Callithrix jacchus: one gene and its partner. The protein of the gene in region 2 binds, or shares a complex with, the protein of the main gene of each other region. Links are inferred from orthologs where the notes say so. Each region holds a gene or a part of one and is shown on either strand. Other genes may lie near its edges.

Region 1 (15,978 bases), on a different chromosome or scaffold from region 2:
CTTGCAGAGCTGGCATTGCGTGGGCAGCAGCCTGGTCAGTGCGTGAGGGGGTGCAGAGTGGGGAACTCATGCTCCCCACGATTCCTCTGCTTCTTTTGGGCCTTAAAGCCCTTTGTGGCCGTCCGGGGGAGGAAGGCCTGGAGCACACACAGGCCTGCGGGAGGGAGGACCCGGCCGCCCGAAACAGCCTTGAGTGACAGCAGCTCGGCCACTCTCTGCTGCTGTTGTTTCTCACAGACTCAGGGAGGCAGGGCTAACATTCACTGAGATCCACCCTCAATCTACGGCTCCATGAGCTTTGAGCCTCAACCAAGATACAGAACATTTCCGTCACCCCAGAGTTCCCAGCGCCCCTGTGGCCACCCACCCCTCCTCCAACCCTCCCCCGGCCCAACGGCTCATCCGTTTCCAGAACTTCAAGTGCTTGGACCACCCAGCACCTTGGAGTCTGGGGTCTTTCACATAAAGCGCCTTCATGAACCGCGTCAAGGAGACCCGGGGAGGACAGATTCCACCAGTCTGAGTCGTCACCTCCCTGAGCCGGAACGCAGAAGAGAGGTTACCAGGTGCTGGGGGCCAGGGTTTAATGGGGACAGAGTTTCGGTTTGGGGAGAGAGAAGGTTCTGGAGGCAGATAGTGGCGACGTTTGCACAGCAATGTGAACGTGCTCCTCACCGCTGAACTGTGCCATCACCAATGGTAAGACGGCACATTTTATGTGATGTGTGTTTCACCACGAGTTAAAAATAAAGAAAAGCTTTTTCTTCTCTTAATATAAACTGCTAGAGAACCATGTGGGCATTTATTTCTGTGACAGAAAAACGAAGGCAGCCCCGGGCTTGTGCACAGGCTGGACGCCCTCTCGGGCCCTGCTCAGCCTAGGCCCTCTGTGCCCATCAGCAGATGTGACCAGATGGGAGCCCCGGTACCTCTGAGAACAGCCCTGGAGATCTGAGGGCTGCTGCCTGAGGCCTCACCTCGCCTGTGGGGTGGCAAGTACAGGTGGCCGCACCTGCTTGCTGCCCTCAGCACCTACAGAACTGCAGGCACAGCCCCGGGACCCCATTTGTCCCTGGAGTTGAATGTCCTCAGAATGCTGTCAGTCTGAGTACAGGACAGCACGGGAGAGCTGACCCTGGGTCCCAGTGCAGAATTGTGAACAGGTGAGCCTGAACTTCTCTGGAGCAAGTCACTCCCGAGGACTCCAAGCCCACTCAGAGCCGCTGTGGCCAGCTCTGAGCCCCTCACTCTCCCACCCTTGCCTGTCACACCCAAAAGCCTGAGTGTCATCCCATGGAGAGACCTCAGGGTCAGCCTAGGCCTCCCCAGCTGAGAGCCCCTCTAGGCCCTGTCTCTCTCCAGCCACGTGATGTGCACAGGTGGTCCGTCCTCGGCTTCATCTGGGAAAAGGGGTTACGGGGTACAGACGGGGACACATGTGGTCCGTCTGCACGTCCTCACCTGCCATCTCCCACCTGGCCCCAACGGGCAGGTCTGGTGTCTGGAACAAGCCCAAGGCCACCTCCCTGTCCCATCCTGGCCTCTTACTCCCGGAGGCCTCAGAGCCACAGTCTGAACATCTGATTTCAGACGCCAAATTCTTTATTCCAACATATAGCACCTTAACCTTTTGAAAACTTTTAATTACAACGTTTTTCAAACATATACCTAGAATGTCATCAACACCCACTTTCCTCACAGACTTCAGACCAATCTTGTCCCTCTGTGGCCATCCTAGGGCCCGTTCCCCCAGATCATGCTTCAGCAAATCTGAGACACTGCATCATTTCATCTGTAAACACTTCCGTATGTACCTCTAAGAGATCAGGACCGTTTTGAAAACCATACCCACAATAACTCTGGACAACAAGAATTTACTTCAACTCCCCAAACTCTTTAGCTGCTTTTTGGCATGAAGAATGACTGGCTTTGGTTCCAGGATTGTGTGACAGGTTGACTTGTCCAAGTCTTTGCTAAAAATCAAGGCTGCCTGGGAGGCCGAGATGGGTGGATCACCTGAGGTCAGGAGTTCAAGACCAGCCTGGCCAACATAAGAAAACTCTGTCTCTACTAAAAATACAAAAATTAGCCAGGCATGGCGGTGGGTGCCTGTAATCCCAGCTACTACAGAGGCTGAGGCAGGAGAATCTGTTGAACCTGGGAGGCGGAGGTTGCAGTGAGCTGAGATCACACCATCACATGCCAGCCTGGGTGACAGAGCAAGACTCCATCTCAAAAAAAATAAATAACTAAAAATTCAAGGCCACCATCTCCGGTTCCCTCACTGTTTGTAGGACAGAATGAACCGTTTGTCCGGAGGTTTAGCTGGCTGCATCCTAACGGTGCCTTTGTCCAGTTCCTCTGTCTCTGGTGTGTCCTGTGTGTGGCAGCAGCATCAGGGGCTCCATCAGATTCAATGACTTTGATCCAAGGATGTCATGGGGTGTGTGCACACCAGGACTCACCTCACGCCTAACTCTCTCCCCTTCATGACAGTAGTGGCTGTCAAGAATTGGTGGCTGCATCCATTAATGTATCAGCCTTGCACCCGATGGGTGGTATCCTAATAAATATCCCACTCCTTCTTCACGTATTGACTGGGATGTTTCTGTGCTGACACAGTGCCCGTCCTCTACTCTTGGGTTACTCTAAACTACCTTTTGAATAGAAAAGGCAGGAAAAATGCTCCCTTCTTTTTTTTTGAGACGGAGTTTCGCTCTTGTTACCCAGACTGGAGTGCAATGGCGCGATCTCAGCTCACTGCAACCTCCGCCTCCTGGGTTCAGGCAATTCTCCTGCCTCAGCCTCCTGAGTAGCTGGGATTACAGGCACGTGCCACCATGCCCAGCTAATTTTTTTTTTTGTATTTTTAGTAGAGACAGGGTTTCACCATGTTGACCATGATGGTCTCGATCTCTTGACCTCATGATCCACCCGCCTCAGCCTCCCAAAGTGCTGGGATTACAGGCGTGAGCCACCGCGCCCAGCCTCCCTTCTTTTCTTCTAAAGGGTCCTGGCCTTTTCAGACTAGAGGAAGTGCGTGGCTCTTGGCCCTGCACCAACAGCACTCGATGCCCTGGGCTGGAGATGAGGACACTGTGGCTGCCACAGCCAGAGCGGGAGCTGCCCGGGGCTGCATGGTGTAGGTCCTCCTTCCCGTCCCTAGGGGAGGTCAGAGTTGGGCAGGCTGTTCCCTGGTGTAAACGCCTCTGTCCCTAACGACCCCTTCAAGAACTCCTTCTTCTGCAACTTTCTTTTTTTTTAATTGAGACTGAGTTTTTCTCTTGTTGTCCAGGCTGGAGTGTGGTGGTGCGATCTTGGCTCACTGCAACCTCTGTGAGTTCAAGTGACTCTCCTGCCTCAGCCTCCCGAGTAGCTGGGATTACAGGCGTCCTTCACCACACCAAACCAATTTTTGTATTTTTAGTAAATATGAGGTTTCGCCATGTTTGCCAGGCTGGTCTCGAACTCCTGACCTCAGGTGATCTATCCGCCTCGGCCTCCCCAAGTGCTGGGATTACAGGCGTGAGCCACCTCGCCCGTCCTTTCCTGCAACTTTCTAACTTGAAAAAGTTCCTGCTGCAGAACAATTGTAGGAGGAAGACCCCTCAACTGCCCCGCGCAGATCTGCAGCCCAACGCCCGTAGCCCCGGGAGCAGTCTCCTCACTTGATTCATTACCTGCTTGCTCTCCTTTCACTTGGCCTTTTTTTCTGAACGATCTGAGAATCAGTTGCAGACTCCACACTCTGAACACCCCTGTATCTTTTCTAAGAACAAGGGTTCTGCCTTCAGAGGTTGCTGGGTGCAGCCTGGGGCACGGGACGGAGCCCTGAAACAATCCATGGCCAGAGTTCACTGGACTCCGTCTCCTTCCCTGCCTCAGTGCTGCTCCTTTCCCAGGGTTCTGCCTGTCCTGAACGGCCAGGGTGTTGGCCCAGTTGCCCTGCAATCTGTCTGCTCCTGGACGCCTCCGTAGCAGGGGCTGTGGGTCACCAGTTTCTCCTGCAGGAATGGAGGCCCCCTCCGTCCCCTGAGGGAGGGGGTGCCCTCTGACTCTAAGCCAGTGAGGAACACTCCTGTTTGTACTAAGTAAGTATGAAGGAGGCTTTCTGAGGAAACAAAGGAGCAGACAGGGAGGCCGAGCCCGCAGGAACAGGGCTCCCTTGGTGCAGAAAATGGCAGTGATGAAAGCATGATGAAAGGCATCCTTATGGCCACTCAGGAGGGTCTAATGGACTCGTGCCTTCGAGGCTGGGGGGGGGTTGCTTTTGTGTGTGGCCATGGTGGGCGGCGGGTCTCTAAAACCATTTCAAAGGCTGCAGCCATCTCATCGGATTTGAATCTGACACCGGAACTCACAGGACCCTGCCACTGTGGGTCCTGGGCACACACACGTTCAGTACACACTCCCTGGACAGATGAGTGTGGGACTCTGCTGGTCCACAACCTGTGCCATCAGCCCTAAGCCCTGTCACACAAAGCCCGTGCCATTAGGACCCTTCATAGCTGAGGTCAAAGCTGGAGGTTGGGCCCAGGCCATGGGGGACCATGGAGGAGCAAGGTCCATCTGCCTGTGTGGGGTCACGTGTGCAGGTGGGTTCGAGAAGGGGTCGGGCATCCTGGAGGTCCCCGAGTCCCCAGCACCTCCTCCCAGTCGCCCTGCTACACCGGGGCCAGGTCTGGGGCCTTTGGGGGGGTCCTGGGCACCAGGTCCTGCCTGCTGGCCTGAGAGCCCAGCTCCACTATCTACTCCTGTCCCTGGCTACACACTCGGAAAGTGTCCTGCCAACTTCAGGGAGGATCATCCTGTTGCTCCAGAATGTTCTCATGAAGCCGCCTCATTTCCAAACACAATTTCTGTTTGCAGGTGCCCAGGCCAAAACTCCTCGGAGACACCGGGGCAGGAAAGGACCCCTGTTTTGGAAAGAGGGCTGTTTGCTTGGCCACTGCCCCAGCACTTCCAAATTCGTCGCTGAGAGGGAGACACTTCCCTGAGGGTATCCAGGCCTCTTCAGCCAGATATCACCGTTTGAAAATAGCAGCTGTTCACGCAGATCTGCCAGCGGCCCAGAAGCCCACGCGGGGACATAAACCCCCTCATCCGGAAAAACCTCTTGTAAAATGGCGGATGGCAGGGCGGGGTGGAGAAGGCCAGGCCTCTCTGACGAGGAATGTTCTTTTTGAGCCACATAGCAGCTGGCATCAGGGGCCTGGTAAGCCCCTGGCCGTCAGCCTCAGATGGAGGAGCGCCCTTGTAATCAGCCACTCCCAGGCACGCGGCTGAGCCCGTTAAAGAAAAATGGAAACTATGTTCTCCAAGGGTGTGGAGGATGCCAGGAGCACTCAGCAATGCTCGGCCAGCACCGTGTCTGCAGGGCTGGGGTCTGTCCCAGGGTTGATGCGGCCTCTTAGAGTTGATGAGTGACTGTGGCTGGACGTAGCGTGACTTAGCCCAATCTGCCTCGCAGCCTCTGAGCAATAAGGCTGGGCAGGTGGCGCTTTGGGAGGTGAAGGGATGTCCTGTAGGTGCCCAGTCCCAAGTGACCGGCTGGCAGAGAGGCCGGGCGCAGGGGAGGACGCTTTCTGGGGGCGGAGCTGAGCTGTGCTTACACCCCTGTGCTTTGCGGCTGTTTTTGAGGATTGCAGGAGGCCTGTGAGCTCCTGGCCTTTTGCCAGGGGAGAGGGCAGAGTGGTTGTCTGAGCAGGGGCACCTGCTGGGTGAGCAGTGACAGCGCTGACCCCTCCACTGCCCACTGTCTGAAGGGCTGAGTGGCTGCTGCTCCTGGGGCCCTTCCATGCACACTGGGGAGAGGCTACCCCAAAGACAGGAGCTTGGTTGGGGAGAGCAGACGAAGGCTCAAGGGGAGCAAGAGGTCATTTCTCACTGTTCGCCTCGAGGGCCGTGCCTGTTGCTGCCTCTGGTGGGGGAGGGCCTCTCACTGCAGACTCTTGCTCCCACCAGTGCCTGTGGGAGAGGCCTCCCCAATGGGACACCTATAGCCACGAGTTCTACATGCAGCTGGGGGAACTAGGAACTTAGTTCCAACCCCCCAACCCCCAGCCCACCAGGGTGGTGGCCAGTGGGGTGTCAGTTAGGGCCCAGTGAGTAATAGGCAGGTGATGCCCTGCCTGGCACTGCTTCCTCCCCCCACTGGGCAAACTGGCATATGTGAGATGCCCAGGCAGCTACAGAAAGTCAGCTGGGAGGTTGCCGATGCTGGTGTCGGGGGAGCTGGGGGAAATGCCAGCCACCCAAGCTGGGCAGAGGTGGGCAACTCTGCCTGGATCCTTCATCCTGTGGCTTCCTAGCCCACCCAGAATGGAGGAAACTCCACACCTCCAAGGCTGCTCAAGTCCAAGATGTCATTCAAAGTGCCAACTGGCCCTGACTTCCTCCCTGGACATCAGCCTCCTGCTAAGGGCTTTGGTTTGACCAGCCCTCTCCTCCAGTGCTGGAACCCCCCATGCCATGCACCTCTCAGCCAAACTGATTCCCAAGGGGGCTTCCCACCTGCATTCCCACAGCGCTTTGCTCTGATCCTTGGAGGGCCGTTGGCCACTCGGCTCCAGTTTTATGCACCTTACCACATGCCACCGCTACATGGAGATCCTCATAACCTTCCCAGCAGAAATACCATCCCCACCATCCAGCACTAATGGCACCTGTGAGCGCTTCTACATGTCAGGGGCCATGCAAACACTTCCCACACGTTGTCTCTTGAATGCTCAACCTTCTGAAGTCAATGCCATGACTACCCCATCATGCAGACTGGAAAGCTGAGGCTAAACTAGGAACTGGCCCAAGGTGGCATCAGGTTCCGCTGACTCCCATGTTTGGGCCAGGGGAGGCAGCTGGGAGGCACTGGCAGAGCCAGTCTGGGGCCACTCTACAGAGGAGAGGAACATCACCTGTTGGGGGCACAAAGCCTTTTGAGAAGCTGATGAAAGGGGCCTCTTCCTTCCATGACACTGGTGCCAGCACACATGAGTTTCCATTAGATCTTAAGGAATTCAGAGACATCCGAGGCCGGCCATGGACTCCAGGGACAGGCACGGGCTCCATCCCCTCAACAGGAGGGGAGAAGACAGGAGCTGAGCCTAGCAACTCTGGAGCTGCCCCAAGTTGCCCCAACCACCTTCCCAGCCTCGCAGAAGGAGACTGTCTCTGTGACCTCTCCCATGCCCTGCACCCAGAAGGCACGCCACTGGCACTGCGTTTGGGGAAAAGGGAGGGCTCTGGCGGGTGGTTACCCATGCTCACCTGGATGACAGTCTTGACCGTGGCCGTGTGGATGGTGGGCGTGCACACCAGGCCCCCAGGGTGCTGGCCATCGGCGCTGCGGTTCTGCTGGCCCATGGTGAACAGCATGGGCACCGCCAGCAGGCCCGAGGCCAGCCAGATGGCGCTGATGAACTTCTTGGTGCGGCTTCGGGACATCAGGGTCTTGGCCTTGAAGGGGTGGCAGATGGCCAGGTAGCGCTCCACGCTCAGGCTGGCCACGTTGAGGGCGGTGGCGTAGGTGCAGGCGTCGCGCACGAAGTAGTAGCCGCGGCAGCCAGCGTCACCGAAGGCCCAGGGGTGGTGCACCCAGATGAAGTTGTACAGCTCCACGGGCATCGCCAGCAGCAGCGTGAGCAGGTCCGACAGCGCCAGGCTGCCCAGGTGGTAGTGCACGGTGCTCTGCAGGCTCTGCAGCGACTTCTTCCGCGCCAGTGTGAATGCCGTCACTGCGTTGCCCACCGTGCCCACCGCGAAGAGCGCCAGGTACACGGCGGTTACCAGCGCCTTGGAGTAGATGTCGGTGTTCACGTCCAGATGGCTGCTGGGCGCCTCCAGGACACGCTCCGACGCGTTGCCCGAGCCGTTGCCGAAGCCCGGGGCCCGGAGTGCCGCCTCCAGTCCCGCCTGCGCCCGCTGGAAGGGGTCGGCGGCCGGTGCGCCCGGGACCCCTGGCGTGGAGCTGTTGAGGTGCATCGGGAGGCGGGGTCCGAGGCTCTGTCCCGCGCCTCCGGGGCTGGAAGTCCGGGCGGGAGTGGGCGCGCCTCCGGCGGGGACCCAGGAGAGGGAGCCCAGGGGAGGGCTCGTGGCGAAGACAGCGGGCGCGCCGTCCAGCCGGGAAGCGCAGACCCAGACGCGCAGCCTCGGGCTCCGCGTTCCTCCGGACTCCCGGCTCCAGACCTTGAGGTTCCTCAGGCTGTCTCCAGGCTCGGTGCTGGTCGCCGGCTCCGCGCTGTCTCGGATCTCCAAACCCCGCGGATCCCCAGGCCCCCGGGAGGCAGCGTCCGGGCCGATTTGGGCTGCACAGGGCGGGCTGCTGGCGCCGGGAGGAGCGCACGCAAGGCTGCCCCGGCGCGCTCCCTCCGCCGCTCCCAATCTCCTCCCTCGCGCTCTCCGCGCCCCCGGACCCCGCACACCTCCCGCCGCGTCCCCGCCCTCCCGGCTGTGCACGTCTCCATGGAGCCCGAGGCCGCGCGCCGCGCCCAACAATGGGGGGCGGAGGAGGAGGGAGGCAGCCTCCGCAGCCATCCCCATCCCGCCCGGGTGCATCCTGGAGAGTCACCCCCCCCCCACTGGCACTCCCCTGGGACAGTGCGAGCTGGGTGAGCGCTCCAGGGAATCAGAATTCCGGGCGGGTGCGGCCGGTACCGTGCACCTGACCCTTCTCGCCACCCTCCTCCCTGTTCTCCGCAATTTCTCGCTCCCCACAGGAAGGGAACTGTGCACCTCCCCCTACCCGGGCTCGCTCAGTGCCAGTGAGGGTGTATCGGAGGGCAGGGAAAGAGGAAGCTCCCGCTGATAGGGCTGGGCGGCTGCACAGCTGACTGGGCCACCCCCCACTTCTGGGTGTCCACAGGGTGCCAGAAGCTGGGTGCCAGGAGGACTCTAGGACCACTGGAGATTACATTTCTTGCAATTCCTTTTAAAATCTGGCGTCATGGGCACGCATGGTCTGTGAATGCATTATCTCTGGGACCTGCCCAGTGGGAATGGTGGGGGCTCCGGGCATAGGTATCACCTGGGGCAGCATGGCCTGAGGCAGTACTGAGGACACCTGCAGGGGCTGAGCAGCTGGGTCCTGCAGAGGGCAGGAGCCACGTCTGGTTTCATCAAAGTCTGGGGAGGGGTGAATGGGGGAAGGCAGAACGCAGGCACCCAGAACAGCACCCTCCCCACTCAGGGCCCACACCTGGCACCCTGGGCTGGTCTCATGACGCTATGGGGTGTGAGTGGGCACCCTCTGGGCCCCTTATTACTGCCTGGATTTGTCATCAAAGTCATCCTGAGAGCCCGAGCCCCAGCAGGATTTGGGAGGGGCAGTCCCAGCACCGGACACCCTTCCTACCACTGAGTGTCCTCACAGGGTGGCCTCTGTCCCCAGTTGGGAGCCAGGTGACGGTGAGATTCTTGTCCTTTACCTGCTTCCCATCACCTGGCAGCACTGGCATAGGTGGTCAGGCACAAGCTTGCCCCCCACGTCTGGGTTGCCCAGGGGCCCCCAGGGCACCAACTGTCACTTCTCTAGGCCCTCCCCGCCCCCTCCCCTGCTCCCTCCTCCCAGAACCCCGGGGAGAGGTTGGATAGAGCTGCTGCTCCCTGTGTGCAGGGGCTGGAGGGGCTTCTTGGGTGCAGCCCAGGAACCAGCCTGGCCTTCGTGGACTTCGCTGGCTGCAACTGCTATGCTGGGAGCAGGAGACCTGGCCAGGCTGGTGTGGCGGATGCAGGATGTTGAGGGAAGCAGGAGGCTGAGAAACCCCCTCCCAGACCCGCGCAGCTGGGAGAATTCGAGGCTCCTGAACTGATGGCTGGCAGCGGGACTCTGTTCTTACCCCGATTTGGGCTGGTCTGTTCAACCAAAGCTGATACTCTTCTCAGGGAGCTGCAGCTCACAAAAATCTGAGGTTAGAAATCCTGGCATCAAAGGAAACGCCACTGGTCCCTTTGCTGGAAGCCAGGACAGTAGGCTCAGAAGCCAGCAGATGGGGTTTGAACGCTAGCCCTGCTACTTCAGATTTGGATGAGTGTCCTTAGCGGCTCTGTGCCTGAACTGAGTTGTCTGTAAAATGGGAATAGCAGCTGAATGAAGGGCAGGGCTGTTCCTGATGGGTCTCCATGGGGAATGAACGAGGTTGAATGGGTTGTCAGGTGTGAGGTGAGGTGATCCATCACTGTAGGCTAGCATAGGCTGGATTTGTCCTCTGGAAGGCAATTCACCGGTTGCGTACAGAGGGGACCTTAGTGTCCACGCCACACTAGGGAGTCCAGGGGCTGGACCGTGTCAGGTCCAGGCACTCACCACTGTCTTCATAACCCTGGGGACTGACCATGGGTTGGGCCATCAGGTGCCTCTGTTGAGACCCCCACAAAGAGGAAGGCCACAGTAATGGGCACTGGGGTCTGTCGCTCTGCCAGCCAGAGCAGGATGCAGCAGAATCGTGCCCTCCCTCTGCCAAAGCTCATTGTTTGGTTTTCAATCCCCTGACCTTTTGACTAAGCCGCCCTTATTTTCAAAGATTTATCTTTGAGTTAGCCTGGGAGCTTAAAAAATCATAAAAGGCAACTTAGTGCAAATATTGTGATGGAGCATTTGCTTAAAAGCACATAGGAAAATGTCACTTGAAAGGCCTTGCTCTAAACAAGGTGTATAGTGGGCCCCTGGTGAGGGTCCCCGGCGGCCACACTGCGCGCTCGGCCATTCTGAGCTCTCCTGTGCACGCGCGAGCCGAATGGCTCAGCAGCTGGAAGCTTTTAACCTCACGTTGTTTGCCTCTTTCTCTCCCGATTTCTGCAGACAGGAGCCCTTCCTAAACAGCTGAGACTCTTTAAAGAAAGTGCTGGTGAGGCACCTGGTGTAGGGCTGATGGCCCCATAGGGTCGTGGGGTGAGCCTTATGCTGTGCTGAGGCAAAGGGCTAGGCTGGGCCCTGTTGTGCCCATTGGTGATGCAGTCACGCCTTTGGCCAGGCTGATGCCTTCACTGACAGGTGAAGCTGGGCATGGCCTTGTGGGGGGCAGGGCTGCAGGGGCAAGTGTCTCCTGCAAGTTGGAGAGCCTTGGGGATATGCTCCCCCGATCCCAACACTCCCAATGCTGCCTGCTGGAGGGGAGCCAGCTGGTCCCGTGAGCAGCGAGGGCCAAGACCTGCTGACACCACGGTTTAGATTCTAGGGTGCAGTGGGAGTGCTGACGAGGGGCAGCCAGCATGCAGGGGACAATTCTGGCTTTCTGTGATTCTCCGAGTGGTATGAGCAAGGCCATGTCCTCATTACCAAGCAAGTAATGACATTGTGCCTGGGGTGACAATCACGTCCAAAGATTCACCACATGAACAGTCCCTGGGAGCTGCTCCTAAGCGGGGGGGGGGGGGGGGGGGGGGAGGGGGGGGGTGTCTCTGCTTGTTTTGTTAACCAGCTTACCCTGAGTCCCTCCAACGCTGCCTGGTAGGTAGTTGGCGCTCAGTGGGTTGCTGTTGCACTCGTGGAGAAGATGTGAGGGTGAACTGAGCGAGGCCACACCAGCAGGCTTCCCTTCTCTCAGGCCCCCAACCACTGTTGCTAGCAGGAAGCCTTCTTGCTATATTGAAAAAAATTAAGTGAGTTTACAGTAGCACCTCTCTCAGTATCTATTGCTGTGTAACAAAATGCCCCACTGTTTTCAGCAGTGGCTGAAAACCACAAGCATTTATTATTTCTTTTTCTTTTTTTTTTGAGATGGAGTTTCGCTCTTGTTACCCAGGCTGGAGTGCAATGGTGCGATCTCGGCTCACCGCAACCTCCGCCTCCTGGGTTCAGGCAATTCTGCCTCAGCCTTCTCAGTAGCTGGGATTACAGGCACGCACCACCATGCCCAGCTAATTTTTTGTATTTTTAGTAGAGACGGGGTTTCACCATGTTGACCAGGATGGTCTCGATCTCTTGACCTCGTGATCCACCCGCCTTGGCCTCCCAAAGTGCTGGGATTACAGACTTGAGCCACTGCGCCCAGCCCTATTATTTCATCAGTAGCCGATTTCCTATGGGGATGAAGGCGGGTGGGGAATTAGGGGCACAGAAGACACATAACATACATAATCGGTAAAGTTTGGCTGTAGATTTTCCCACCCACAGCATGGAAATTGCACATGTTCCAGGACGCATGGTGTTCCAAGGAGGATCTTTAAGAATCGAGTGACAGGTGCCCATATATTCACGTAGAGAACTGTTAGCAGGCCAGCGAGGAGGGCGGAGCCATTTCCAGCCTCGAGCTGGCTGCACCCCTGCCATCTCTGGGGCCATTGGCAGATTCTGGCGGTTGCCCTACAGGCGGATCAAGCCCCAGTCATCGGCATCCTTGTGCCCCACATCCCCAGGTCGCCCCTTGGACCTCGGCCAGCTTTCTGGAAACATGAACTGTGTTCTGAGAACAGAAGACAGAGCAGGTGCGCTGCCCATGAGCACAGCAGCCGCTGCAGGGGAGAGTTCCCCGGAAGGCCAGGGATGCCAAGGGCAGGTCGGGGTGACAGGCTGGAGAGGAGGTGGTTTCGAATCCCAGCTTCACCAGGCCTGGACCCCCAGTTCCCTGTATGTGAAATGCACAACAGGGCCCCTTGGTCAGCAGGCTGCAGTGAGCATCTCATGGTGTGCACACACTTCATTCCGCAGAGGCCAGGGCTCAGCCTGGTGGCCGCAGGGAGCTGGAGAGGCTGTGTGGGAGGAGGATGGCCCGGAGTGCCGCCCCACACTCCGCCTTTGCCCGGGTGGGGACACGTTCCGGACGCTGTGGTAGCTGTCTGGTATGCTTGGCTGAGGATGGAGAGTGATCGGCCACCAGAGTTATGTGAGGTCTCCGTCAGTGTCACAGACACTCAGCGATCCTGTCCCGCCTCAGGCAAGCCGGGGTGGCCATTCCACCATCCCCCAGGTCACCTGAGAAAGATGGCACTGGCAGGCTGGGAGGCTTGGGGTAGGACAAACAACTCACTCTAGTTTTCCTCAGACTTTCAAGGTTTTAAGACAAAGTCCAGAGACTGGAAGCTGGAGCCCTCTCAGTCTCAAGCAGCTGGGGCTGAGGGTCCCCTGGCTGGGTGCTGTGGGAGGGGCTGAGGGTCCCCTGGCCGTGTGCTGTGGGAGGGGCTGAGGGTGGCCCTGGCTGTGGCTGAGGGATGGGCTGAGGTGGCACTGGCTGGGTGCTGTGGGAGAGGCTGAGGTGGCCCTGGCCATGGCTGTAGGAGGGGCTGAGGTGGCCCTGGCTGTGGCTGTGGGAGGGGCTGAGGGTGGCCTGGCAGTGGCTGTGGGAGGGGCTGAGGTGGCCCTGGCAGTGGCTGTGGGAGGGGCTGCGGTGGCCCTGGCCGTGGCTGTGGGAGCTTGCTCTTGTAGCTCCCCTCCCTTCCCGTGCTCTCTCCTGCTCTGTTGATCTCCCAGCCCAGGTCTCCCCCTCTGGGACCAGGTCTCAGCACTCCTGCCAAATCCCAAAACATCCAGGGCTCCTTCACCTCCCATGGCTAAGAAGCCAGGAATCTTCTAGTTCAAACCCACCATGGCTCGTGGAGAGCTGGCTGCTCTGTAACCGGCCCACTTTTTAATCATACATTTCCTCTGGGCTCTGATTCAGCAGGATGGTCTGACTCATGCAGTCGTCAAACATATATCAACAAGTGTGTCTGCCATCTGCCTGGAGGCCAGAGCCTCCTAGGGAGCCTTGGCTCAAGGGCTCACACCTAGTGGGCAGAAGCAGCCAAGTTCCCTTAATTCATGTGCCCCCAAGAGCCATCTGCCTTCCACCTGGCTCTGCAGGGATCTGGCACAGGCTGGGTACCCGGTGGATAGGGAGGTGTGTTGAGCAGATCGTGAGCACCTGGAGGGGACAGCTGGCACTTCACCTGCTCAGCCTCTCCCCTTGCCTGGGCACCAGCACCCCCAAGTCTTCCTGTGAGCTGCCTGCTGTCCACATAGTCTATGTGTGCACACGTGTGGACACCGGCGTGTGTGTTGGGCTCCCAGGCACAGGGGCTCAAAGGGTCCCGCTGGCAGGAGCAGGTCTTTCCGGTCTTGTGTCCTGTCCTTGCTCTGAGACCCCATGGGAGGCTCTGCTGCCTCTCCCCAGAGCTGGCATGCACCTGGCAAAGAAAGCTGTGCCCAGCGGGGAGGAAGGAGGGTGTCCTCCGCCCGCCCTGCCACGCTTTGTGTTCTCTCTGCTCAGATGCACGGAGCCCCGTCTCCTGGCTGGAGCTCCTGGGACCCTCTCCTCTTGGGGCTGTTTTCTCAGCATGAATGAAACTGCTCCACCCAGCCAGGCAGAGGGCTCGGGATCTGCAGTCTGACCCGGGGTTTCACATCTTGGCTCTGCCACCTTCACAGTGAGTGGCCTTAGGTGACCCCAAGCTTCAGTTTCCTCGTCTGAAATATGGGGATGTTAATTGTGCCTAATGTTCATGGGTGTGGATGAGATGGGGCAGCCCACACCGTGGGGAGTGTAAGGACCCCAAGGATGTTCACGTCAGACTCCTCAGAACCTGTGAGTATTGTTGGGGTGCCTGGCAAAGGGGATTGGGGGCAGGTGGATTAAGGCAGCTCATCAGCCATGAAATAGGGAGGCCGTGCTAGGCCCAGAGAAGTCACAAAAGTCCTTAAATGAGGAAGAGAGGCAGAAGGAGAACCAGAATGATAGCAGCCTGAGAGAGGTGAGCAGCAGCCACACGGGCGGCCAGATGCTGAGGGATACAGGGGGCCCTACACAAGGGGAAAGGCAACAGAACGGGGTCTCCTCTGCAGCCCCAGAGGGAGCTGAGCACTTTGCTTCAGCCCAGGGAGCCCCATTCAGACCCTGATCTCCAGAGTGGCGAGGTGTTCATCACATGGAATTCACTGCAGCAGTGGCAGAAGATGGGGTGCCGCACTGACAGAGCTCCAGGTGGCACTCCAAACGTGAAAGCAGCAGCACATGCAGGCTGTCAGAACAAAGGCTCTCACAAGAGGTGCAGACGAGGGCAGGGCTCACACCTGTCATCCTAACACTTGAAGTCAGGAGTTTGAGACCAGCCTGGCCAACATGGTGAAGCCCCATCTCTACTAAAGATACAAAAATCAGCTGGGAGTGATGATGCATGCCTGTAGTCCCAGCTACTCAGGAGGCTGAGTCTGGAAAATGGCTTGAACCCAGGAGGTGGAGGTTGCAGTGAGCCGAGACTGAGCCCCTGCACTCCAGCCTGGGTGGCAGAGAATGTGTCTCAAAAAAAAAAAAAGAGGCGTGGAGCCCAGTGGGGAGCATGGCACTGTGCAGGGGGCTCTAAGCCATGTGCATGCAGCAGACGTGGCCCCTCAGGGCCCCAGCTCAGGTCCATTTGCTCGGTGGACAGGAGTGAGGACACCTGGCAGGAAGGCTGGAGTGAGTGCCTGATGCAGAGGCAAGAGGAGCACTGGGAGAGAGGGGAGCACTAAGAGAGAGGAGCACTGGGAGAGAGGGGAGCACTGGGAGAGAGGCGGGCGGTGGGGGGGCTGAAGTGTGCTACCGTGTAGGGCTGCAGCCTGCAGGAGAGTAGGGTGGCCACACAGACACTGAGGGCCTTCCAATTTGGCTGCACCCAGGGTGTCTGAGGGGTGGGGGCTCCTTCTGCACTCCTTCCCTGTTCCCTGCTCACCCGCTGGCCCCCTCCTGTGCCAAGGATGTGCTGGGAGATCCAGCCTTGAGCTCAAGGGACCCCCCTGTAAACCAGGCCTTTGGCCCCACAGCTCCAAGCCAGTGCTTGTCCTTGGAGTCCCCTAAATTTCTCCAAAAGAATCTTTGGTGCACTGGACACTCAGGGAGCTGGGGTGCTGTCCCCAGAGCAGGCCAGCTATGAGCATTCCACACTTGGCCATGTCCAGAGAGCCTGACTGAATGGTGAGAGAGTGAAGGATGGCAGGTGTGGGCTGGAGAAGTGGAAGAGGCTGCTGGGGCCCAGTCCCTGCCATGCGCCAGACCTCTCCCCCCTAAGACAGCATGAGGGGCTCAGGGTCTCCCA
Region 2 (15,224 bases):
TCATCCCCACCCCTCCAAGCCCTCATGCTCACCACACACATGCCCCATCCTTCCCTGCCTGCTCCCCATCTCAAGTCCAATTCCAAGGCCAGAGCCCTGGAAGCTTTTCTGGGAGACAGCATGTAAAGAAGGGGAGTGGGGAGGCGATGGCAGAGATGGGGTGAAGCTGGAGTGCTGTGGTCCTGTTGGCATGGTGACTTGGGGCCAATCCTGAGCCCAGAGATTCATCACCGTGATCCGGAAGGCCACGGGGGTCCCCTGGTAGAAACTGGAAGAACAAAGGGGAGGAGAAACCAGAATGGGAAGACGAATAAGCATCCGAGTGCACGAGAGTGGAGCTGGAGCCACGTGGAGGCAGGGTCGGCCCGTCTATCTGTTGTTGAGCTGTGGAGAGCCAGTACCATCCTCCTCTTCCTCCTTGTCATCCTTCATGCCTTTCAGTCTCTGACGGGCAAAGTCCTCAAATACAATGTCGTCATCACTGGTGGGAAAGACAAGGAAAACGTGGTGTGTTTGCAGGGGCAGGGAGAGTAGGCTTATCCAGAGGCCCGGCCAGATGTGACTCAGAGTGTGGCTCTGGGGCCAGGGAGAGAACCACCATCTCTGAGGTCTCCGGCTCTGGAGCTGACCATGAGCAGAAAGGCCTGCTTGGCTGGCACATGTGGATGCCACCTGTGGCAGTGGGGACGGTCACATCAGGACTCGGGCCAGTCATAAAAGGGGCAGAGAGAGGCATGAATTTGACTCTTGTGCATGAGGGCTAGAAAAGTAACCTGGTTCTTTAGGAGGTGTGGGGAGCAGTGTGGCTCTGCAGCCAGAGGAAGGACTTATTCCCACTGCAAGAGGCCAGGCCACCAGTAGCTTCACAGCATGTTCTGTATCCCCCGAGAATAGCCTGGCAAATGCCACCCCACCACCCAGACAACTACCCTTAGGAAGCATTCCTGTTTTTGGACAGAAAGGTGTGGTTTGGCTTAACGGAAGAGAAGACCATGAAGAACCTTTCTCCCAGGAAGTGTCAGCTCAGATTCTACCATGGGGGATCCTGGACAGGAGAAGGATGGGGTAGGAGGATGGTGAATCTAAATAGGAGGGCAGAGGACCTGTTTGTGAGGAAGGGGGAGACTTGAATGGGGTTTCAGGACTGAGGACTGCCTTCAAGAACAGCGAGACCCTTCTATCATTAAATATGTCCACTTAGGGACCTGCAGGGGTCCAACCAGGTCTCCTGCCCAACAGAGTTCAGCTAGTGCATGGGGCATTCTCATGGTGTGACTTGAGACCTCCACACCCCAGATTTCTCCCGGGGGACAAGGGAAGATTGGCTTTGGAGTTGGAGCAAGAAAGCTGCTTGGCCCTGGAGGTGGTCCACACAGTCGGCCCAGTCCTCCCCCTCTGGCAACTGTCCGGTGACTCGATGGCCTTTGACCGCAGGGAAATCCACATCGATCGGTCCTCAAGAGTCAGAAGCAACAAGATCCCCAGTCCCCTGCCCACCCCACAGCCTGATTCCACTGGTTGGCGTGGGCAGGACAGGAGAGCTGAGCCCAGGGCCACGAACCAGCCCTGTGTGAGCCGAGCAGGCGCTGTGGATGGACGAACGGACTGACGGACGGACGTGCAAGGACCAGGGAGGAAGACAGACCCCACCAAGGCAGGAGGAAGAGGAACAGGCACGGAGGGTCCTTCAAGTCACATGCAGGCAAGCGGGTTGCTGAAGAGGCGAGCAGAGGCGGCTCTCAGCAGATGGGGTTACACCAGTGGCTCCTCAGGGGTTAATAAGCATATATGCAAATGACCCCCTCCACCCTGTGCCCCCCTCACGGCCCGCCCACCCGGATGTCTGCAGGCAGGGTTCGGCTTACTTTGTGTCAAGTTCTATGAGATTGGTATCTACTGGCGTCTCGTTCTCTGGAACTAAACACAGGGCAGTGGGCAGGACGTCCAGGGGTTAGTGAGGGATGAGCATGGGGCAAGTGGGCACAGGTCCCCACCCTGGGACAACCAGACTAACATGAGGAGGGCGAAGGAAAAAGGGGAATGGAGAGGGGAGGACTCATTCTTGGTCTTAAAACACCCCAAATTATCTGGAAGGCAGGGAGGAAGGCACCAGGAGGGCCCAAATGCCCGCTGCAGCCCCAGAAGAGCAGAAAATCCTCCAGACCTCTGTTCCTTTTGACAGGTCTCCAACATGACTTACGTTAATTCCTTGCATGCATGCCTTTCACCAACTCTAAGACAACTTTTTTAAAAATTTTTCCTTCACATTTTAACATCTCTGAACTTGGAGTGTCTTACCATTGACGGCATTGCACAGGTTAGCCATGCAAGTTCTTTCCTAATCGTACCTACTATGATGACTCTCTCTACTGAAAGTCTCGGATTCAATGAAATATGACAAATCTGGTATCACTTGAAAAACATGACAGGCCCGGTGCGGTGGCTTACGCCTGTAATCCCAGCACTTTGGGAGGTTGAGGCAGGAGGATCACCTGAGGTTAAGAGTTCAACACCAGCCTGGCCAACATGGTGAAACCCTGTCACTACGATAAACACAAAAATCAGCCAGGTATGATGGCAGCCTCCAGTAATCCCACCTACTTGGGACACTGAGGCAGGAGAATCTCTTGAACCCAGGAGGCAGAGGTTGCAGTGAGCTGAGATTGTACCACTGCACTCCAGCCTGGGCAACAGAGAGAGACTCTGTTTCAAAAAAAAAAAGAAGAAGAAGAAAAACATGACAATGGTGTCCAGCAGTCATCTTATCCATGCAGCCCTTTCCCCTACTTCCAAACGGGACCCAGCCCATGCCTGAGTGCAAGATAGAGGCTCAAAGCATGGCCAATGAGCTCCCTCCTCCTCTCCTGGCCTCCCTCTCCCATGGGGAACAGGAGCTGTGCCTCACTGTCTCCTGGTAGGGTCAGAAGCAAATTTAGTTCTGGACCCCACGAAAGATCTGGGGACCTGAGAAAAGGGTGCCTGGGCTGAGAGCAAACCCGGGGCAAGGGGTGGGTTACAGGGTCACATGGTAGCTGCTGGAGAACCCCTACCCCAGAGACCCACAGATTCTGCTCACCTTCCCGATGAGGAGGTTCCTCTTTGGGCTTGGGGTGCATTAGGGTGAAGGGCAGTTCCACAGCCACGTCGCTGAAACAGAGACCCAGACCCAGTGAGCCTTGAGCAGACTCGAAGGCTGTGGGATTCGATGCGCTGCCAGTCCAAAGACTGGGGAGGGTTTTGCTGTCAGAGGAGGTAGATCCCAAAGATGCCCTCCAGCCCCAGTTTTCCACTCAGAGCCTCGGTCTGCCTGGGAGCTGGACCAGGAGACTTCCTCTGGCTCCAAAAAGAAATGGAAGGCTCCCCTTTCCTGAGACGGCTCCCTGGGTTCCCACAGGCTGAGAGGAGGCCAAGGGGTGGGCAAGGATTGCCCAGGGCAGCATGCACCATGGTCACTGCGGGGCTCCAGAGGTGCCCTGAAACTCTGCCCACCTCAGATCACCACTGCCACCTCTCCTCCCCTGACATTGCCCTTCCCAGCTTCCAGGTTGGAACCCCTCCTGCCCTGACACCATCCCATCTCCCAACACATCCAGGGCGCTCTTGTGAAAGTGCTCAGGCGACCCTAGTCCCCCTGCAATCTGGGTGAAGCACTGTTGAGGTCAGTTTAGTCAGGTTTAGGATGGCCCCAGGGCCAAGGCTGTCCACACTGTGGGGATGCGGGGGAAAGTGGTCGGGAAGACCCAGCCACCAGCCAGTGCTACTGATGGGGCTTTCTCTGTGTCTGGCCCTGACGGACAGAATAAGAGCAGGTATTCACATGGTGCTGACTATGCCAAGGATTACTGTAAACCCCTTCCATAGAGTAACTCACTTAATCTCGAAACAACCCTATTATTATCCCCAGTATACAGACTGGGGCATTGAAGCATGAGGAGATTAAAATATCTTGCCCAAGGCTATGCAGCTATTAACGGTAAGTGATAGCAGATTCTGGCTCCATAACCACACCCTTGGCCACTGTGTGACAGTAGCAGGATTGAGACTAACAAAAGCAACCCCGAAGGCTCCTCTCAGCTTGGCGTGGCATCACCCTAGGAGACCCCCCAATTGTGAGTGCCTCCAGGCACAGGCCACATCTCACTGATCTTGTTGCCCAGAGCCCAGCTGGGAAGGAGAAAGGGAAAGGGAACGGAGTGGTCAGAGGCACAAGCTAGGCAACTAGAAGGGTCTGCTCTGCCAGCCTTGCCACTCGCTGGCGCAGCAATTTCTGGCTTTGAGTCTCACTGAGCTCAGCTTCGAAGTCGGGATAACAATACCTGTCTTCTAGAGCCACTGGAACTTCCTAGAGGTGAGGCAGCTAAATGCTAGTTAAACTGTAAAGCTTGGCGGGGCACAGTGGCTCATGCCCATAATCCCAGCACTTTGGGAGGCCAAAGCGGGCAGATCCCTTGAGCTCAGGAGTTAGAGACCAGCCTGGGCAACATGGTGAGATGCCACTCCCCACCCCCCGTCTCTACTAAAAATACAAAAATTAGCTGGGCATGGTAGTGCACACCTGTAGTCCCAGCTACTCAGGAGGCTGAGGTGGAGGGATGGCTTCCACCCAGGAGGCAGAGGAGGTCACAGTGAACCAAGTCTGTATCACTGCACTCCAGCCTGGGCAATAGCATTAGACCTTGTCTCAAAAAGAATAAAAATATAAAATGAAAATGTGAAGCTTGTGCCTGCCATAATCATTACTTCCCCCAGTGGGAACCTGGGGTTTTATAAGGCTGTCAGAACTATTTGGACTTTTTTTCTTCCTTTTTTTTCATTTTGCTTTGGGGAGCTGGTGGAAGAGCAAGTTTGCCAACATTAGGGAAAGAATCTGGACCTTAATCTTCTACCAGGCCAGGAACGATAAGAGCAGGGGGCACATCTGATTCCTCTCTGGGACTTTGGCACTCAGCACCAGCCTAGGTACCAGCCTGGGTTGAGGAAATCCTTGCTGAATGATATTACACTGAATTGAATTAAACGAATTTCACCTGTCAAATCAGGCTAAGATTTCTTAGGATGAGCCACACTGCCATCTTGTGACAGAAGGCCAAACTGCTGTGTGTAGGGTACAGACATGTTTGGAATCTAAGTGCATCAAGCTGGCTGCAAGGAAGCTGTGTTTACAAAAGAGGACCTCTCCTTAGCAACTCTCAGCCAGCAGCAGCTCATTCTCATTAGTTCGGAAGTTTGAAAGCCATGAAGTCTGCATTTCTCCAAAAGCTCCTATAATTCAATTGATCGGTAATTCAAACAGCCCTCTTGGGGGCCACTCCCTGTATCAATGCAATCGGGCTTTGCTCTCTGTAAAGGTCCCTGTCACTCGGGTGGAAGAGCAAAGTGAGGTTTGTTAAAGAGAAACAGTGTCTCCCAGCTCACACCTGAACCTGGCAATCTGAAATGACCACCAAGATTCCTTCCAACCCAGTGCCCTGTGATTCTGGTCAGTCAAGCCAATCGGCTCCAGGCCCTCCAGGAAGGTGGGTGAATCAGGTGGAAGGGAGGAATTTACCTGGATGCAAGATCTCCCAACAGGCTGGGTGGGTCAGAGGAGGCAGGAGAAGTGGTCAGGAGAGAGTTCAGAGAGGAAGAAAACAAAAAGCACATTCATTCACCACTTCTGCTGCCCCCAGATAGAGAAGACCCACGGGACACACTCCACCCGCCCCCGCCCCACCCGGCACAGCCCTGACTGCTCATTCAGGGATATGTAGAAACGGCATTAGCGCTGCCCTGGGTGACTGGGATCTAGACCCAGCTCAAAAACCCCCTGAGCCCCAGGATCCTCATCTGTGAAGGCAGTGTGAAAATTAACCCTGGTGCTAACTACCCCAAGGGAGGCCGGGCTATCTAAAGGCAGAGGGAAGGACTCCGGGGTTGCCAAGAATGTTTGAGAGACTGTGGGTCCTGAAAGGTCACCAGACACAGCATTTGGGATTTGTAATCTTCAGGTGTCCTATTGTATAAGGTCAGGATTACACAGTGCCACCTGCCAAGAGGCATTCTTCTAATAACCAAGGAGACCCAATGTCTAATGGGATTCAGCTTTTCAATCTTTTCATAGAAATGTATGAACTAAGTTACGCACACACAGAAAAGGTAGTTGCTTTTTTTTTTCCTCCCCAAGCTTCCACCAAATTACGCTCCATGGCAGGAAAGTCTGGTCCACTGCTGTGACCCCAGCCCATGACCTGAGTTAGGGGAGGAGACTTCAGGCAATGTTTGGGGCACTGTTTGGGCCTCTGTTTCACCATCTGTAAAATGGGAAAGCTGACCAGCTAGCAAATCCCCAATCCAGCTGTGGGTTCTGAGCCCTTTTAGCTGCTTCCTCAGAAAATCAGCTTGGGCATGCATGGGGGTGGGTGCTATGTCCCAAGGTGTGATGAGGAATATGGCACTCTGGGGGACCCCACAACATAGACTCTGAGGACTCTGTCGCCTGGGCATGGCCAATCCTCAGCGCAAGCCCAGACCCAGGATAGAAGAGAAGGAGAGCGAGAAAGAGATGGGTGGGGGCTGAGGGAGGGGCTGAGGGCCAAGGATGGAAGAGAGGGAAAGTGGACAGGGGAGGAGAAAGAGGAACCACAAGGGAGGAAGCGAAGGGACAGGAGGTCCTGCTCCAAGGTGGATGCAGCTGAAAGGACAGCAAATAGGCAGAATGGGGCAGGGGACTGTGGGCATCTGGGATGCTCCCCTCTGCACTAGGGATCTTGGGCTGGGCTAGAGCACTCACCCGCCCCGAGACACCACCAGCTTCACTTTCACTTTGTAGGAAACAATGATCCCCAGGATCTCACGGTTGGCGCCTTCCCTCAACCTGAAAAGTGACACAGGGGAGCCGGTTCAGTGGCCTCGAGGGATGCGCGAGACCCTGCAGGGGTGGGTGTGCTGGGGGGCACTGGCTATCCATCCCCTATCTGGCTGGCCTCTCAGCCACCATGTCCAACAGAGCCCAGTGTGGAGCCCAGTGGAGGTGAGGAAGGCAAGCTATGCCATTAGGGAGCGGGGAGCCAGAGCCCCAGTTGCACGTCTGGCTGTGAGGTTCGCTCGCTGTGTGGCCACGTTGAGCCCCTCTCCCTGCCCAGGCCAGCATCCCCACGGTGAGGGGCAGGCTCCTCCTCCCCTCAGATGGACTCTGCTTCTCTCAGCAACCTATGAGCAGAAAGGGCCAGATGGGAAGTTCACAGAGAGCGAGGCTGCTGGGGTGGGGTGGGGACTGTCAGAGAAGGATTTCTCCGTGGAGGTGGTGCCTCAGCTGGGTCTTGAAGATGGGTAAAGTTCGAGCCAGGGTGGAGATGGGGCCAAAAGCTTCAGGTAAGTGGGAGGATGTGTAGTTGCTGGGAAGAGAGCTGAGTTCATGCTGGGAGTGGAGGCTGCTCTAGACACAGGCCAAAGCCCCGACGAAGGACCACACTTGCAAGAGGGAAAGATGGCAGCCCCACACACAGAGCACTGCTGGAGTGGAGCAGCCTCGAGGCATCTGTGATGACCAAGCAGCAGGAGTGACCAGAGGCCCTGGGGCCACTGACTTGGAGGGGCACCCCATGTTGGGTCTAACTCAGCTCACCACCCTGGTCTTTCCTCAGGGATACCCCATCTGACTGAAGGCATTGGGTCAGAAGCTGCCACCTCTTGCAGGAAGCCTTCCCAGGTTGCCCTTCCCCGGACTTGGTAACAGAGCCCAGTACTGCCTGAGTGAGCTGGCCTACTGGTCCATCTTAGTCCCTCGGTCACCCCTGGATAGGGATGGGAGTAAGGAGGTAGCTTCCCTGATAAGTCAAGCACCTGAGGACAGGCCCTGGACAAGGCTGGGGAGAGGGTAGCCTGAGCCTTGTCTTTGAACTGGAGGGACCAAGGAGGGTGAAAAGCAACGTGCACCAGGAGCCCAGGGCTAGGCGGGCAGGTCCTCACAGGGTGCTAGAGGCCAAGTTCGTGTCTTCATGCTTGAGCTTCCCATCCAGGGCAAGGCCCCGCTTCTCACGGTTGTTGGCCAGGAAGGGGGTCAGTGTGTAGACCTTGCAGAACGTTGAGCTGGGTGCCACAGTGTCGCTGGGAAGAAAGGAAGCAGCTGTGGAGTTGGCCCTCCCCAGAGCCAACCCCAGCCCTGCTCTCCAGCCCAGCAGAATGTCTAGTCTGGCCCTGCTCCAAGCCTCCCTCTCCTGACTTCTATCCCCCACAGATACAGGGACCACTTGGGCCAGCCCAGCTCCGGAGACCACTGCGACTCAAAAAAGGCACATCCACATTCTATGCACAAACAGGACTGGATCTGGGATATTCTAAGAGATTATCATAGTCAAGCAGCACAGTGCTAAAAAGCACATTTAGTTAAAAAATGACAGCCACAGCAGGCACAGTTGCTCACACCTATAATCCCAGCAATTTGAGAGGCTGACAGGAGGATCACTTGAGGCCAGAAGTTTGAGACCAGCCCGGGCAACAGAGCAAGTCTCCATCTCTACAAAACATGTTAAACATTAGCCTGGTATGGTGGTGCACACCTACTTGAGAGGCTGAGGCAGAAGGATCACTTGAGCCCAAGAGTTCGAGGCTGGCTGTAGTGAGCCAAGATCGCACCACTGTACTCCAGCCTGGGCAACAGAGCAAAACTCTATCTCTAAACAAATTTTATTTTATTTTTTGAGGCAGTCTTGCTCTGTGATCCAGGCTGAAGTACAGTGGTGCGATCTTGGCTCACTGCAACCTCTACTTCCTGGGTTCAAGAGATTCTCCTACCTCAGCCTCCCAAGTAGCTGGGATTACAGGCGCGCACCACAACGCCCAGCTATTTTTTTTATTTTTAGTAGAGATGGGGTTTTACCATCTTGACCAGGATGGTCTCAAACTCTTGACCTCAAGTAATCTGCCCACCTCAGCCTCCCAAAGTGCTGGGATTACAGGTGTGAGCCATTGCACCTGGCCCTGTCTGTAAACAAATTTAAAAAAAAATTATAGCGACACATAAACCATAAATGAAACTATTTGGGCACCCACATACCCACCATCTAGGCTCAACAATTAAAACTCCACTTGCTTTATCGCATCCATCATGTATAGTGTGTTTTGATTGTCCAGTTTTTGCTTGCTTTTGCTCTATCCCCCATCCTTTCCAAAGAGAGAGCTGACATGCAGCAGATAGCGAGCAAGCCGTGGAGTCAGACAACCTGTGCACCAGCCCCAGCTTCGCTGCTTGCTAGCTTACAAGTCACATCTCTCTAGCCACTTCCTCCTCAACACACTGGGGCAGCAGCAACCCCAGCCCCATGGGCTTCCTGAGAAGTAAACAAGCCTATGAGTGCAAAGGCCTACCCAGCCACCCCTGCTGGGATCTGTTACGCAGACCCTGGCACCATCTGCGGGGGTGGGATGTTCTACCCTTCAGGGATTATATGTTACTCTGTTCTAGATCACTTCACTTTACCATCTGGAATCTATGCTTCATGGCTCTGATTTTTTTAAAAAAAGAACAAGAGGCTGGGCGTGGTAGCTCACACCTGTAATCCCAGCACTCCGGGAGGCCGAGGTGGGCAGATCACGAGGTCAAGAGATTGAGACCATCCTGGTCAACATGGTGAAACCCCGTTTCTACTAAAGATACAAAAGAAATTAGCTGGGCATGGTGGCGTGCGCCAGTAGTCCCAGCTACTCAGGAGGCTGAGGCAGGAGAATTGCTTGAACCCAGGAGGCGGAGGTTGCAGTGAGCCAAGGTCCCACCACTGCACTCCAGCCTGGCACCTGGTGACAGAGTGAGACTCTGTCTCAAAATATAAATAAGTAAATAAATAAAAATAAAAAAGAACAACAGTGAATATCAAAAATATCCAGTAACCAGAGAATGCTTGATCTCAACATAGCATGTTCACCTACAGGACATTAAAAACTGTCTCCAAGGCCATCTAGTAATTTTTTAAATGTTTGAAGTTGCAAAAAATACTGATTGGAATTATATATAAACAAATACACATACACAGTAAAATTACATCAGGTGTAATTGCCCCAAGAAATTACTTGTAGGGCCAGGAAAAAGACTGTGTGTGTCTTTAAATGGGAGCATTTATTTCCTTTAGGTAAGTAAAGATGTTTCACTTGAGATCTCTCCTCTTGCCTTAACTGCCAACAAGCTTGGGACAAAATTCAGTCCACACTCAACCATAGTAGTTCTCCTCAAACCTAGATTTTTTTTTTTAATGTCTGTGTATAATTAGTCTCTACACTCCCACACACAACCCCTTTACCCAGTGAGCTGGATTACCCTTTATTAGACTGTGCACCTAGTGCCTTACCTACTTTGCCCTGGCTACCAGGAAGCTCAGAACAAAGTATTTCCCTTCAACCTAGGTTTCTTGTACAATGTAATTATTTTCTTTCCCCAATCCCAATCCCCTTACATTCATTAGCTCTTGTTTTGTCATTCTAGTTTTAGTGGGTCTCTTCCTTGATTGTACCTTGCATTTTCTTGTAGCTAAATCAGGTAGATGGTTTCTAAAAGGCTCTTTGGGATCATCTACTCTGAGTGGCAAGGAATTCTGAGGCCCAGCCCTCTGCCAGGTGAAGAAGAGACACCTGGACCTGTAACAGGATACCTAGAGCTTTTTCCCGCCCAATCCCACATGCCCAAGGCCAGATGTGTGCTCACTTACTCAGCCTCTTCCATGGCAACAGGGCACTTGTACTGAGCTGTGTTGAAAAGGCAGATGTCTGCATACTGGCGCACTGGGGAGGGAGAGGAATGAGGTTGAGCGAGTCTGGAATGCAGCTCCCATGGAGTCTCTCAGGCTTCCTGGGGTTGGGGATATTCAGCCCCAGGCAATGGCCACAGGCCACCAGTAGGGACTTCTGCCTGAGACTACCTCTGTCTTCCATCCAAAGGGTAGCCCCAAAACACACAAATTTCCTTCCATAACCAAAGCCTTCTCCTCAAGTACAGCTTTGCCCAGAACCCAAGAAACTGAAGAGAAGAGGTGGCTTAAAGAATGAACTCATTACCTGGCCAATAAACAGCCTCCCTGACTCGCCTCAAAAGTGGGGCCCTGTGGCTCAGGGCAGGCCCTTGTATTTATTATACAAGGCTGTTGACAAGGCAGACCCTTCAGCCACCCCCAGCCCATGGGAAGATTGCCTCTCCTGTCCCCTACGCTGATCATCTGCCTGGGGTACCTGAGATCTTGATCTTCTTCACCATCTTGTTGGTGTTGTTGGTGACATGGACGTTGACGCTGATGGGTTCTCCATGGTAATAGATCTGGGGGGCATAAGAAGGAATGGCTGGGAGGATAGCAAGGTTCTAGGGAAAGAGGAGGGAGAAAAGCCCCCCATGATCTTCCTGGGTTCCTCAGACCTTGGGCATTCTGATATTTGCCTTAAGTTCATCAGCCGCTTCCCATTGCTGCTAAGGAACCAAGTACACTAGCCCTTCAGTTCCCTGGAGGGACCCTTGAAAGATAATGGAATTGGAAGGTGACAGTCCTGGGCTCCAGTCCTGGTTTGGCCACCAGTAATCACGACATGAGAAAAGCAGTGCAACCTGGGGTAGGTTATCTAAGCCTCAGGGTCTCCCTCTGTGCAATGAAGAGGTTGGACTGGGTGATGTCTCAAGACCCTGCCAGCTCTAAAATCTGTCCATGGAAGGCTCTGGAAGAAGCAGGGAAAGGTGAGGAGTGGCTGACCAGCTCACGGAGGGAGCCAGCTCTGAATCCCTCCCAAAAGGCCTTAACTTGCATCTTCCCAAGGCACGTGCCTTCAGCCATGCCCCTAGAAGGGGGAGTGCCCACACCTCATGGAAGGGCCAGCCTGAGCTCACAGCAGGCGTCAGTCAGCTGGGCTTGAATCAGAGCTTGAGGGGAGGCCCTTCCTTCTGCAGGGCTCGTTGTCCTGATGCTCAGGGTTGGAGGGGAGGCCGTGACCTCCCCTGTCCCCTCTGCAGAGCTCGCTGGCCTTCAGCTCTCGGACTGAGGCAGGCAGCTGGTGGAGGTGGGGGAGGATGTCCAGGACCTTCGGGAGGGTCTCTGCTCCCTTCCGAAGTCCATCACATCCTTCAGGTTCATGCCCCCTCTGCCACTCCTTTAGGCCCAAGAGGCTTCTCCAGATCCCCCAGGGGAGGTCTCAGATTCCTTGAGCCCTGTGGTCCTCAGGCTGGGGGTAAAAGCTCTTGCCTGAGGCATCCCCGCAGGCCAGGAGAGAGCAGGGATCTGAGGTCAGGCCCTGGTGGAGCAGCCCCCACCCCCTGCCAAGTCTCCTACCTCCTTATCCAGGGAGGCCTCTAGGTGTAAGGGCTTGTCCGACATTAGGAACTGCCTGGTGGTCTCGGCTGTGGGCTGGGGACCAGGCCTCTCAGGGGCATACTGAACTTTCCGGATGACCAGACGCACAGAATTCCTAATGGAGATGGGTGGAGTGAAAGAAGACCAGGGTCAACTGCCTTCATCCCCTCTCCTAGCAAGCCTCACATCACTCTCCTGCTCAAGAGACTGCCATGGCGCCCCATTGCCTTAGAATCCAGCCAAACTGCAGAGGTCAGCATAGGGGTCCCGTCACCATCTGGCCCCATTCCATCCTCCCCTGTTCTGTCCAGAGCGGCCCTGTGGCCGCACAGGGGTCCTGATACCCAGCAGGATGCTGAAACAGGAGCTGCATTTTCACCTCCTGCTTCCCTATGCCACCAAACAGGTGACATTTTCACTTCCTGCCTCCCTATGTCACCTTACACAGTGTCCCTCTGTCATCTATTTTGGTCACGTAGGAAACTATTTGTATAAGCTCTTTAAGGGCAGAAAGTTGTGTCTGAAGTGTTCACAGCAGTACTCTGCGCACCTACGCTGTGCCTGCCATACAATAAACACCTGTCAGATGTCTACTATGCAGAACTATGCAGAGGGAACGGGGCCCCATGAAGAAATGGGGCTTGGGGAGGTGTTGGGGTTCAGGGAGGAGCTGTGGATTCAGTCAGGGGGACGCCAGCCAATGAAGGGGACAACCCCAGGGAGGGGAGAAGGCCCAGGGATGAAACTGGTTCCATGAAGGTTACAGGGGCTCAGCGAGTAAACGAGGATCTCGTGAGGGAGAGGGACTCGGTGAGGCCATCTCTGAAGCATGCTGGAAATGCTGGCATCTCCATTGCTCAGATAAGCTGTCTCTATTGCCTGGAACCAGAGAGCCGAGGTCAAACTTCCAGTTCTCTTCTTACCATGGCCTTGGGTGCATTAATCTCTCTCTGCCTCCATTCCCTCATCTGTAAGGGTGACGATAGAAGGAACTATCTCTTTTTTTCCTTTTTAAATTTTTATTTGTTTATTTATTTTGAGATGGAGTGTCACTCTGTTGCCCAGACTGGAGCGCAGTGACGTGATCTCAGCGCACTACAACCCCTGCCTCCCAGGTTCAAGCGATTCTCCTGCCTCAGCCTTCCGAGTAACTGGGATTACAGGCATGTGCCACCACACCCACCTAATTTTTGTATTTTCAGTAGAAATGGGATTTTACCCTGTTGACCAGGCTGGTCTGAATTCCTGGCCACAAGTGATCTGCCCACCTCAGCCTTTCAAAGTGAGAGCCACTGCGCCCAGCCAGGACCTACCTCTTAGAGTTGCTGTGAGGATTTAATCAGTTCATACACACCCAGCACCGTGAATGGTGTCTGGCACCTAGTCAGCCCTTGATAAATGACAGCTTCTGTATCATTATTCTTAGTAACTCCTTGGTGTGGATTTTAAATGTCCCATTGGTGGTAGGGTAAGAGGGTGGCTCTCAAAGTCACCTCCTCTTTCTTGTGCCTACCAAGCCTCCTCCCACATCTCACAGCACCCGTCCTTTTCCCTGGTCTCAGGTCTTAAGAGGAAAAGGGAGACAGGGAAGCAAGGGAGAAAAGTCCCATCTCCCACACACAGCAGTCTGGGCTGCAGATGCAAATGCATGCAATACACCCTACAGCCACCAGGTGGCAAACTCAGCCTTCCCCCTAAAGAGGTTGCTGTGCCCTCCCCAGCCTTCTCTGGGAACAGTGTCTCTGGAGGCAGGACCATCAGCGTCTGGGGGGCCTGAGGCCAGCCATTCCAGGAGGCAGGCAGAGCACAGCCTGATCCAAGAGGGGCAGGAATGAGACATCCGGGCCAGCTGTTTCTGGCTGCCAGCCTGGGCTCTCAGTCTGCCCGGGCTGTGCCTCTCCAGAGAACGCTTCCCCTCTCTCAGATGTGGGCCGACCTCTCCATCACTCTCCCCGGGTGGATTCACTATCTCCTTTCCTCCTCTCTCAGAAGCTGTCATTGACACACACTCCACCCCTGCTGAACACCTCCCAGGAGGAAAACTGGAAAATGGGGATGGTCAGGAAACAGCCTGCTCACTGGTTAACACAATCTGAGTTTAGGGTTTTTCCAAAACAAATTAAAAAGACATTCAGTCTAGAGGGGATGAAATGAGGGGCAGGGAGTTGAGAGCGGAAGCTGCCACAGTGGTGCAAAGGAGAAGATGCTGCAGCCTGAACCCAGGCAGTTGAAGCCACCGCCCCCAGGAAGCCCTCCGTGACCTCCCGGCTTCCAGAGTGCCCTTCTCAGAGTTCCCAAGGCTGGAATGTGCACCCCTCCTCACACACTTCCAGGTATTGTTACTTATCTCCTCTTGGACTTTGCCCATCCTGTCTCCCTCCTCACCAAGCAGGCAGCCCACACCCGGGCATCCTACTCACCGCTTGTGGATCTTCTCCTCCAGATTCTCTGCACAGAAGGCTTTGACTTCATAGTCCACACCGCAAGCCTGTGGGGAAGGGTTCACTGACTGCAGGGCCTTGGAGAAGCAGCATCCTCAGTGCGCGGCCAGCCCACCTCTCATTTTACAAACGAGGACACTGGACGGGAACACCAAGCTCCCACAGCCCAGCCCTCCTCGGTCCGGAAGAAGCTGTGAAATGCCCTTGTGCTCAGCCCCAGAGCTGTACTGCCTCCTGCATCTGACATGGGGCATCCCAAACCACCCTAGCGCAGCTCTGCTCTTCGGGCTCCTGCCTTAGTCTGCGTGGCTATCCTTATCCAGGCTGCTGCTCAGAAATAGCAACAGGCACCTGAGCAGACTGGGTGCACCCACTTCTGTGTGCAGACCTGGCCTTGGGTGGCTTGCTCCAGTATCCCTCTAACAAGACAAGGAGGCACATGCTGTGATCTCCACTTTGCAGATGGGGAAGCTGGGCTCAAAGGTCC

The links.
Region 1: the proteins of ARRB1 (region 2) and NTSR1 are in contact, whole or in part, in a cryo-EM structure (PDB 6UP7), measured with the Homo sapiens proteins. The link is inferred for Callithrix jacchus from reciprocal best matches to the Homo sapiens genes ARRB1 and NTSR1. Residues at the interface, in NP_004032.2 of Homo sapiens: Tyr63, Arg65, Asp67, Leu68, Val70, Leu71, Gly72, Leu73, Thr74, Phe75, Arg76, Lys77, Asn245, Thr246, Ala247, Gln248, Tyr249, Lys250, Lys284, Arg285, Gly286; in NP_002522.2 of Homo sapiens: Ser93, Leu94, Gln95, Ser96, Leu97, Gln98, Thr100, Val101, Arg166, Ile170, Pro173, Lys177, Phe286, Ser287, Met288, Ala289, Ile290, Ala297, Leu298, Gly301, Ser368, Asn370.

The regions. Positions count from the first base shown.
Region 1 is NC_133506.1:58,244,210-58,260,187, reverse strand, and holds the start of NTSR1 (neurotensin receptor type 1), read right to left. Parts: upstream 8,382-15,978; 5' UTR 7,978-8,381; coding exon 7,264-7,977; intron 1-7,263. UniProt on the Homo sapiens protein: G-protein coupled receptor for the tridecapeptide neurotensin (NTS). Signaling is effected via G proteins that activate a phosphatidylinositol-calcium second messenger system.
Region 2 is NC_133511.1:65,674,773-65,689,996, reverse strand, and holds part of ARRB1 (beta-arrestin-1), read right to left. Parts: intron 14,785-15,224; coding exon 14,717-14,784; intron 12,412-14,716; coding exon 12,276-12,411; intron 11,279-12,275; coding exon 11,194-11,278; intron 10,750-11,193; coding exon 10,677-10,749; intron 8,086-10,676; coding exon 7,948-8,085; intron 6,854-7,947; coding exon 6,770-6,853; intron 5,573-6,769; coding exon 5,549-5,572; intron 3,148-5,548; coding exon 3,077-3,147; intron 1,918-3,076; coding exon 1,866-1,917; intron 1,715-1,865; coding exon of another isoform or gene 1,693-1,714; exon of another isoform or gene 482-1,692; coding exon 370-481; 3' UTR 1-369. UniProt on the Homo sapiens protein: Functions in regulating agonist-mediated G-protein coupled receptor (GPCR) signaling by mediating both receptor desensitization and resensitization processes.